2 linked regions of the Saccharomyces cerevisiae S288C genome follow. Changing the gene in region 1 together with any one later gene gives a genetic interaction. Each region holds a gene or a part of one and is shown in the gene's direction. Other genes may lie near its edges.

Evidence for each region. A genetic interaction does not mean that the proteins touch.
Region 2: mutations in HXT11 (region 1) and ORT1 together harm fitness less than expected from each alone (positive genetic interaction), as found in Saccharomyces cerevisiae (one large-scale study listed by BioGRID).

Annotation. Positions count from the first base shown.
Region 1 is NC_001147.6:22,254-28,520, forward strand, and holds HXT11 (hexose transporter HXT11), read left to right. Parts: upstream 1-3,019; coding exon 3,020-4,723; downstream 4,724-6,267. Other genes in the region: oligo-1,6-glucosidase IMA2, read right to left, coding at 272-2,041; YOL155W-A (uncharacterized protein), read left to right, coding at 4,831-4,965. UniProt on the Saccharomyces cerevisiae protein: Probable glucose transporter.
Region 2 is NC_001147.6:569,429-572,972, reverse strand, and holds ORT1 (Ort1p), read left to right. Parts: upstream 1-2,165; coding exon 2,166-3,044; downstream 3,045-3,544. Other genes in the region: YOR131C (putative haloacid dehalogenase-like hydrolase), read left to right, coding at 135-791; AFI1 (Afi1p), read left to right, coding at 3,415-3,544. UniProt on the Saccharomyces cerevisiae protein: Required for arginine biosynthesis. Transports ornithine synthesized from glutamate in the mitochondrial matrix to the cytosol, where it is converted to arginine.

The DNA of each region.
Region 1 (6,267 bases):
ATAATTTCACTAGTACTTGTTCTTATATGCACATAACTCGCCGTATTATCTGGCCAAATGAGCTATAGAGTAACCCTTCTCTCAGCATTATTATAATACAATACCAATGCAAGGACATATGGAAAATGCTACACAAAACTATACTTTAGTGTATTACATAACTCATACCGCACTACCAGATATATGTCGTTACTATTTAAAGTGCGGTATGTAACATAGATAAAAATAAGTATATGTATATGTATAAAAATCTTGTCGTCACAATCATCAATCATTCAGATATGTAAATTCTGCCCTCCCATGGCTTCAATGTTCTGGAAGACGCATCAACTTCGCTTCTTGGGTAGTTTCCGAATTCCAACTTAAACGACGAGCTATTGTTTGGAATCGTGAAGTCAATCGAATCAGAGCTGAAGTTCAAAGCAGCAAACAATGTTTTGTTGTCGTATTTCTTTGTGAAGCTGAACAGTTTCTTATTGTCCAAATCAATAAACTCAAAATCATATCCATATACAGTAATATCCTTGTGTGCCTTTCTAAATCTCAAGGCCTCCTTCCAGAAGTTCAAAACCGAGTTGGGATCCTTGGATTCGTCTTCAGCGTTAATTCCTTCCCTGAAAGACTCGTTCAAGTAAAACCATGGTTTAGCATTAGGACCAGAAAAACCAGCATTTGGCTCCTCACGAGACCATTGCATAGGTGTTCTAGCATGGTCTCTGGAAATAAGGGCAATTGCTTCCAAAAACCTCTTCATCTCCTTCGAGTTTTCTCCATGCTCTTCCTTGATCGCATCATAGTTATTTCTAACTTCGACATCCTCGTATTTTTCGATAGGCCAGTTCTTGAAATTGATTTCACCCAGTTCCTGTCCTTGGTACACATATAGAGTACCGCTCAGTGACACCAACAACACAGACAACAACTTACCAGAAATAACACGGTTCTTAGGAGAATCGTCACCAAATCTGGTAATTGAACGAGGTTGGTCGTGATTTTCCAGATAAATTGTTGACCAACAATCAGTTCCGTTAACGTATCTGAAAAGTTCAGCAAGGGCAACCTTCCAATCCTTTAGTTCATATGGGATCAAATTTTGACGGAACTTGGGCGAAGTCCCGACATCAGTGTGGGAAAAGTTGAATAACTCACTAAGTTCGTGTCTTGATGCACTTGTATACAACCTCTTGGTTTCATCAGTAGCATGTTGCATTTCACCAACTGTCATAATTTCTCTGCCATCCTTCACTCTGTTTCTGATGAACTTGTTCATTTCTTGATGAAACTCATGGATACGTGGTCCGTTCATTGTGAAAGGATCACTGGGTTGCCACTTTGAGTTTTCGTCAATCACAGGAGCGTCTGGTAGACCAGCAACCTTGGAGTACAAGCTTCCCACATCAATTCTAAAGCCGTCTACACCATGGTCTAACCAGTATCCAACGGCACTTTCGTAGATTGCCTTTCTACAGTCCTCATTCTCCCAATTCAAATCAGGTTGGGTGGAGCAAAACAAACGCAAGTAAAACTCTTGTGTCTTTTCATCGAACGTCCATGCAGAACCACCGAAGTAAGACCTCCAATTGTTTGGAGGAATTGGCTTGCCTTCGGCGTCATAACCCTTAGGAGGTCTCCAGAAGAACCAGTCACGTTTTGGATTGGTTTTTGAGGATCTGCTCTCTTTGAACCATTCATGTTCGCTCGAGCAATGGTTGATGACTAAGTCGGTGATAAATTTCATACCAAGCTTATGTGTCTTTTCGATCAAGGCAAAGCAGTCCTCGTTCGTACCGTAGGTTGGCCAGACCTTTTCGTAGTTGGCAATATCGTAACCCATATCATCTTGTGGCGAGTCGTAGAATGGTGAGATCCAAATGGCATCGGCACCAAGCTCTTTGATATACTCCAACTTGGAGGCAATACCCTTCATATCACCCCACCCATCGTTGTTGGAGTCTTTGAAACTTGCGGGATAAATTTGATAGATTGTGGCCTCTTTCCACCACTTGGGTTCTGTTTCTGGATGTGCAGAAGAAATAGTCATTGTACGTTGCTTTCTTTTCTTTATGAAAAAACTTTCACTTTTGTTTGTGTGTTTGGACTGGTGAATGGAACATATATTCTAGTACAGCTAATTCCTCGAGTGAAGAAGTCTTTCTTACTTATATATGTCTTTTACGTGCCTATGGACGTCTTACGAATGATCGAAAATAAGAAAAGAACAAAGTAAATTTAGGATCTGGAAGGAGTGCTGTATGTAAACGAAGCTTTCAGTTTTAGGTAATGTTTGCACAACCTACATGATATAACATGGTATGTTCTGCAAGAGCGTGCCTGGCCCTTGGCCCGTTATAGCAGATCATACCATCTGCAAGCAGACCCCATTATTGCACTGCCTCCGCAATCTTGCGTATACGTAGTCCCACGACAAAGTACGAAGCGTAAACTGACCTTGTTCAGTTCCCCACAAAAATTACATAACCATTTCTCCGCGGAATTACATAATCATTTCTCCGCGAAAATTACATAATCATTTCTCCGTGCGAGTTATAAGTGCTTTTCTCGTGCATCCCTTGGCACTTCACAAAACCTTCTTTTTCTTTTTTTTCTTTATTTCAGGGGAAATCAGTGCAAAACTAAAAAAGAAAGAAATTTTGTGAAATGTAAACTCCAGGTGTCAAAAAATAAATTATATCCGTGGAAAATCAGGCGTCGGAAATTGTAGATGAAACCGCCTCCTCCACAATAAATGCTGACCACACGAACAATGCATACACTCGGACACCTTCGTTCAAAGTATCAGTAGCAGTTCGACACACCGTATACTACTTAGCTCTTAAGGTCTAGGCTCATCTTTCTCAGTTCCTCTTTTTCGCTAATTAAAGGTATATAATGTCACAGTTGTGTAACTAGAGAAGAGCACACTTGTTCCTATCTTTTTCTTCTTCTTTTTTTGGTATGAGTTGAAAAAAATAATCATTGCACAATTTAGTTCTAAACGCTTTTGTTATTACTCAATATCATGTCAGGTGTTAATAATACATCCGCAAATGAGTTATCTACTACCATGTCTAACTCTAACTCAGCAGTAGGCGCTCCCTCTGTTAAGACTGAACACGGTGACTCTAAAAATTCCCTTAACCTAGATGCCAATGAGCCACCTATTGACTTACCTCAAAAACCCCTCTCTGCGTATACCACCGTCGCAATCCTGTGTTTGATGATTGCATTTGGCGGCTTCATCTTTGGTTGGGATACCGGTACCATTTCTGGTTTTGTTAACCTTTCTGATTTCATCAGAAGGTTCGGTCAAAAAAATGACAAGGGAACCTACTACTTATCGAAAGTAAGAATGGGTTTGATCGTCTCAATATTCAACATTGGCTGCGCCATAGGCGGAATTGTCTTGTCAAAAGTCGGTGATATATATGGTCGTCGTATTGGATTGATTACAGTTACTGCCATTTACGTTGTAGGCATCCTAATCCAAATAACTTCCATAAACAAGTGGTACCAATACTTCATTGGAAGAATTATTTCTGGCCTAGGAGTGGGAGGCATTGCTGTCCTTTCCCCAATGTTGATATCTGAAGTTGCTCCCAAACATATCAGAGGAACTCTGGTCCAATTGTACCAGCTGATGGGTACGATGGGTATTTTTCTAGGATACTGTACCAATTACGGTACCAAGAACTATCACAACGCCACTCAATGGAGAGTCGGCCTTGGTCTTTGCTTTGCCTGGGCTACATTCATGGTTAGTGGAATGATGTTTGTACCAGAATCACCACGTTACCTGATTGAGGTTGGTAAAGATGAGGAAGCGAAACGTTCACTATCGAAATCCAACAAAGTCTCAGTTGACGATCCAGCCTTGCTAGTTGAATATGACACTATAAAGGCAGGAATTGAACTTGAAAAGCTGGCAGGTAACGCATCATGGTCTGAACTACTCTCCACTAAAACAAAGGTCTTTCAGCGTGTTCTCATGGGAGTGATGATCCAATCGCTGCAGCAATTAACCGGTGACAACTACTTCTTTTACTACGGTACCACCATCTTCAAATCTGTCGGTCTAAAGGACTCCTTTCAGACTTCGATCATTATCGGTGTGGTTAATTTTTTCTCTTCATTCATAGCGGTATACACCATTGAGAGGTTTGGACGCCGTACGTGTCTATTGTGGGGTGCTGCTTCTATGCTATGCTGCTTTGCTGTGTTTGCCTCCGTCGGTGTGACAAAGTTGTGGCCTCAAGGAAGCAGTCACCAAGACATTACTTCTCAGGGCGCCGGTAACTGTATGATTGTGTTTACTATGTTCTTCATTTTTTCGTTCGCCACCACTTGGGCAGGCGGCTGTTACGTTATTGTCTCAGAGACGTTTCCTCTTAGGGTCAAATCAAGAGGAATGGCAATCGCAACAGCTGCAAACTGGATGTGGGGTTTCCTGATTAGTTTCTTTACCCCATTCATTACCGGGGCAATCAACTTTTACTACGGTTACGTATTCTTAGGCTGTCTGGTTTTTGCATACTTTTATGTCTTTTTCTTTGTCCCAGAAACAAAAGGCCTGACACTGGAGGAGGTGAATACTATGTGGCTGGAAGGTGTGCCAGCATGGAAATCGGCCTCATGGGTGCCACCGGAGAGAAGAACCGCAGATTACGATGCTGATGCAATAGATCATGACAATAGACCAATTTACAAGAGGTTCTTTTCCAGCTGATCTTCTAGTTTTCGGTAAATTGGTAAAAAAGCAAAAAAAAAAATTGACGAAACTAATTCTCTATTATACATAATGTTTTTACTTTTGTACCCTTTAATTTCTAATGAATGTTTTATGGAAGCTTCAATAAATGCGTGACTGGCTATAGTTGTCGGATGGCAATCCATTATTATGTATACCGTATTATTAAGAGTGCAACTAGGCCCGACTATAAATCTAACACTCAGATCCTTGTACTGTAATGCATATTTATTTTTTCACAAGTTGCATGCTAATAATACCATGATATTTTTTGAAGCCTTGAAAAATAGTTCAAGCAGCTACGATATCATGAATCAATATACTCATTGCAGCCTATGTAATATATATAGGTTCCGTGTTACCACTCGTTTCTGATATTTTCGATATGGCTACACTGGGTTTTTCATGATGGAAATGTGATACTACCAGTTCCAATATATTTATCTTCCTTATCTATATGACACGCTGTTATTTTAGTTCAAGTCAGTGTCCAATTGGGGTGAGTGTCACGTGCACAACGACGGTAGTCGTTGGATGTGCTAAATGATGTTCTACTGCCAATGACTGCAAATACGTTCGAAGAGTATAAAATCGAAGGAAACGAATTAAGTTGCCAATCCTTACTGTAACTATAGCATGTTACATATATGTACCATAAGTATCACATTAAGGTTTCGCCATAGCCATGTGCCTATATTAAATAGAAATATCACATGGCGATCCACGGAATGTTTATAGATTTTCTTCTTTTGTCTATGGCCCGGGCGAGACATTAATTTATCTTGCTGAAAAATTCGAAAGTTAAAACTCAATTATGCGTGGGATTTCTCAATTAGGTTACCAGAATTTCAATCTGCTGAAGAATTATGTCTTAAAAAAAAAAGTCCCGCCTCAAAAAAGCCAAAAAGGGTGTGACTGTAGATTGTGGGTTACTTGCTGTCAAATGACATGAAAATCTCTGCCTGCATGATCCCTGTCAAAATTCGAAAACACGCGGTCATAAAATTGTGCCTCAAAAAGATATCTTTTCCTGCGGGTTCTCTTAGTAAATGAGGTTAGGTTGTTTCCTATTCTTACGAGATTTCCCTTGTTCTCGCCGCTCACATCATTGTCGGTAAGATCTTCCGTAGTGGCAGGTCAAGCAGTGAGGAAGAAAGATCGGCAGTAAACTGATAAGAGCCAAACCGAAAAGTTTCTTATACGCAAAAACGCTTTGAAAATTCTCCAAGAATCCTATTTGAAACTCTTATTAATAAATAAAGTATAAATATAATAAAGTTTATTGTGAGACATGTCGCGATAAGCACCCCTTGTCTTTCTTGGAAGGGAGAAATTTGTAATATAAAGCCAAGTGTTCAGAACTCGATTTTTTTCTGACCAAAGAGCGGAAGCTCCACTATAAAAGTTGGGAGGTACTTTTAGGTTCTCTTAAGTTCGCATTTAATTATGGCCTGAACGATTTTACTGTGGACAATAAGTGAAATAAGTGTCCTTAAAATGTGTACGATGTGTACACATCAACC
Region 2 (3,544 bases), 550 kb from region 1:
CCAGAAAAGTCATATATATCTTATAACGAAATATCAGGGTGTTCGACTCAATCGCCAGGTGCCGCTAACACAATCATTAGGATAGTCGGGCAATATATACGGTTCAATAGTCACTGAAAGTGTATCACAGAATAATGACAAAGCTACAAGGACTACAGGGATTAAAACACATCAAAGCGGTTGTATTTGATATGGATGGCACATTATGCCTACCCCAGCCTTGGATGTTTCCAGCAATGAGAAACGCCATAGGATTGGAGGACAAATCGATTGATATCCTTCATTTCATTGATACATTGCCCACAGAAAAAGAAAAAAAAGAAGCGCATGATAGAATAGAATTAGTTGAGGCAAAAGCCATGAAGGAGATGCAACCGCAGCCTGGTCTGGTTGACATAATGAGGTATTTGACGAAAAATGGTATTAGCAAGAACATATGTACTAGAAATGTCGGAGCCCCGGTAGAGACTTTTGTTAAAAGATTTATTCCATCCGAGCTTTCGAGGTTTGACTATATTGTGACAAGGGAGTTTAGGCCTACAAAACCGCAACCAGACCCATTATTACACATCGCCTCGAAGCTAAATATAAGGCCCTTGGAAATGATCATGGTAGGAGATTCATTTGACGACATGAAATCCGGTAGATCTGCTGGATGTTTCACGGTATTACTCAAGAATCATGTGAATGGACATTTACTGCTCGAACATAAAGAACTAGTAGACGTTTCAGTAGAGGATCTTTCCGAAATAATTGAATTGATTCAAAATATGAATAAAGAAAGTTTCTAAAAAAAAAAAAACTTTACTTAGATATGTACATATGATTGAAATACCATTTTATTCTTAGATGTTTTTTAGAGCTAATATAGTAGCTATGGCGGAATTACCTTGATTTTTTCGGCATCACAAAGTTCGAGAACACATCAAATCAGCAAAAAAATCTCCGCGACGGGGAATTGAACCCCGATCTGGCACGCGACAAGCGCCCATTCTGACCATTAAACTATCACGGATTTTAATTGTTGGGTTAACGGTGTTTTTATTAATACTTGTTTCATATGATTTGAAAAAATAAAAAAATGTTGCAGCAAGTGATCATTAATGTCAATATAAATAATGATGGTAGCAAGATGAGTGTTTACGTTAATGTACATTTCATATACTGAGAAATAGGTGAATTTTCGGGATAATCGTTAGGATTTCATTATTGTTAAGGGCTATAATTTAGGTATATCGAATATACGAGAAGTTCTGCACGATGATATAGGGATCCATAAAGGGAACCAATATTTCTACGTACCTGTTACTTCTCCCTCCATTTTATATTTTTCATCATTTTATGACGTTATCAAATCCTTGCATTTCAGTTGCCATTATACTTTACCATTGTTTTTCGATTTTATGTCATCTTCTTACACCGTATGACAATATACCAGTAGTATGAATATCAGTCGATGAGTGAGTTGATTTTTATTCGAACATACACGTTTTAACGTGAATGTACTAAACTGCTAACTGAGCATTTCGGACAGTGCTGAAAATAAGTTAAAGATCTACGCTTTGGTAGTTATGTATACGAGTCATACAATTCGTCACATTAAATGTATAGTATCAAAGACAGTATTATCCACACTTAATCTTCATTAATACTTATCAACAAAAATGAAGCACTCATCTGACTATATTTATATAATATTGCCGACCAAAATCCTTGTGTTTAATTCCAAGTGATTTAGCACCAATCCTATTCCATCCATGCAGGTGCTGTTGCTGCTGGATCCGTGTTTTTGACCAGTCTTAATGAAGCACAACAGCAGCCTACCCTTTTTGTGGACCATATTAATGGATACAATGAGTACTTAGCACGAAGAAAGCGTAGCATTGTAGTTTCATCGTTGCAACTTAGTCCTAGTACGTTCCAGTTCTGCATCGTGACTCACCTTGAGCTCGAAAAATGTGACATATACGTTTTCCGCTGTGGCCGCTGTGGCCGCAGCGTCAAGAATCGCCAATGATAAGTTCTCTGCTCCTGGCGTCGATAGATTCAGAAAAGTGTGAAATTATCGAAGCACGGGTATAGTTAATTGTTAAAGCGTAGATGCTTTGTCGTAGAAACTTTTCTTTAACCTATAGGGAACTCAAATTCTGGAAGGTCAACGTATAATGGAGGACAGTAAAAAGAAAGGATTAATAGAAGGCGCTATACTCGATATAATAAACGGTTCCATTGCAGGCGCCTGTGGTAAGGTGATCGAGTTTCCTTTCGATACTGTGAAAGTCAGGTTGCAAACACAAGCATCCAACGTGTTCCCAACAACATGGTCTTGTATAAAATTTACTTACCAAAATGAAGGAATAGCACGAGGGTTTTTTCAAGGCATTGCTTCACCTTTAGTTGGAGCATGTCTGGAGAACGCGACATTATTTGTGTCTTATAACCAATGTTCTAAATTTTTAGAAAAACATACAAACGTTTCCCCGTTGGGGCAAATCCTGATCTCTGGTGGAGTAGCGGGTTCATGTGCTAGTTTAGTTTTGACACCCGTGGAGCTGGTGAAGTGTAAGTTGCAGGTTGCGAACTTACAAGTTGCATCAGCTAAAACGAAACATACAAAGGTGTTGCCTACAATAAAAGCAATTATAACTGAGAGAGGATTGGCAGGATTGTGGCAAGGGCAATCGGGCACTTTTATTCGAGAAAGCTTCGGTGGTGTTGCCTGGTTTGCAACCTACGAAATAGTTAAGAAGTCGTTGAAAGATAGGCACTCCCTTGATGACCCAAAAAGAGATGAAAGTAAGATATGGGAACTACTTATTAGTGGAGGGAGCGCTGGATTGGCATTCAACGCCAGTATTTTTCCTGCGGATACTGTGAAATCAGTAATGCAAACTGAACATATAAGCCTCACCAATGCGGTGAAGAAGATATTTGGCAAATTTGGACTAAAGGGTTTTTATCGAGGACTGGGTATAACCCTTTTTAGGGCAGTACCAGCAAACGCTGCAGTTTTTTACATCTTTGAGACTCTTTCTGCACTTTAAATACAATAAATCGTGTAATAAGCAAGTATGTAACATTGATAGACAGTCTGTAATACCATTTACTGATCAAGAATGTCGCACAATCTCAACAGCCAGGCTTTGTGTTAGTATTTTGTGTTTTTTACAACAACCTCTCGACTATTGTATACCAGTTTCTTGCATAGATGCTACTATTCTCTGACAGTAAATTATCTAGTCAGGACTTCGGATTTAACTAAATGCAAAAAAAAAAATGATTCGAATGTAAACAAAAAAAACTGTCTAGGTAGCAATGGTTCTTCTATAAAAGTGCAAGCTCTATAAAATCAAGATCAAGCATAGTACCGCCCACTGTTAGAGTCTTTGGTACGCAAACATTTTTGGCTACCGGATGTTGCGAAGAGAACTAAATAACTCTATCAGCAACAGGTCGATAGAAAATGAATCCTTTCCTTTTGAAAGGCCGAATGTCAGCTATATAATATCCGCAGAATTTGATAATAAATTAGGTCCTATTTTGA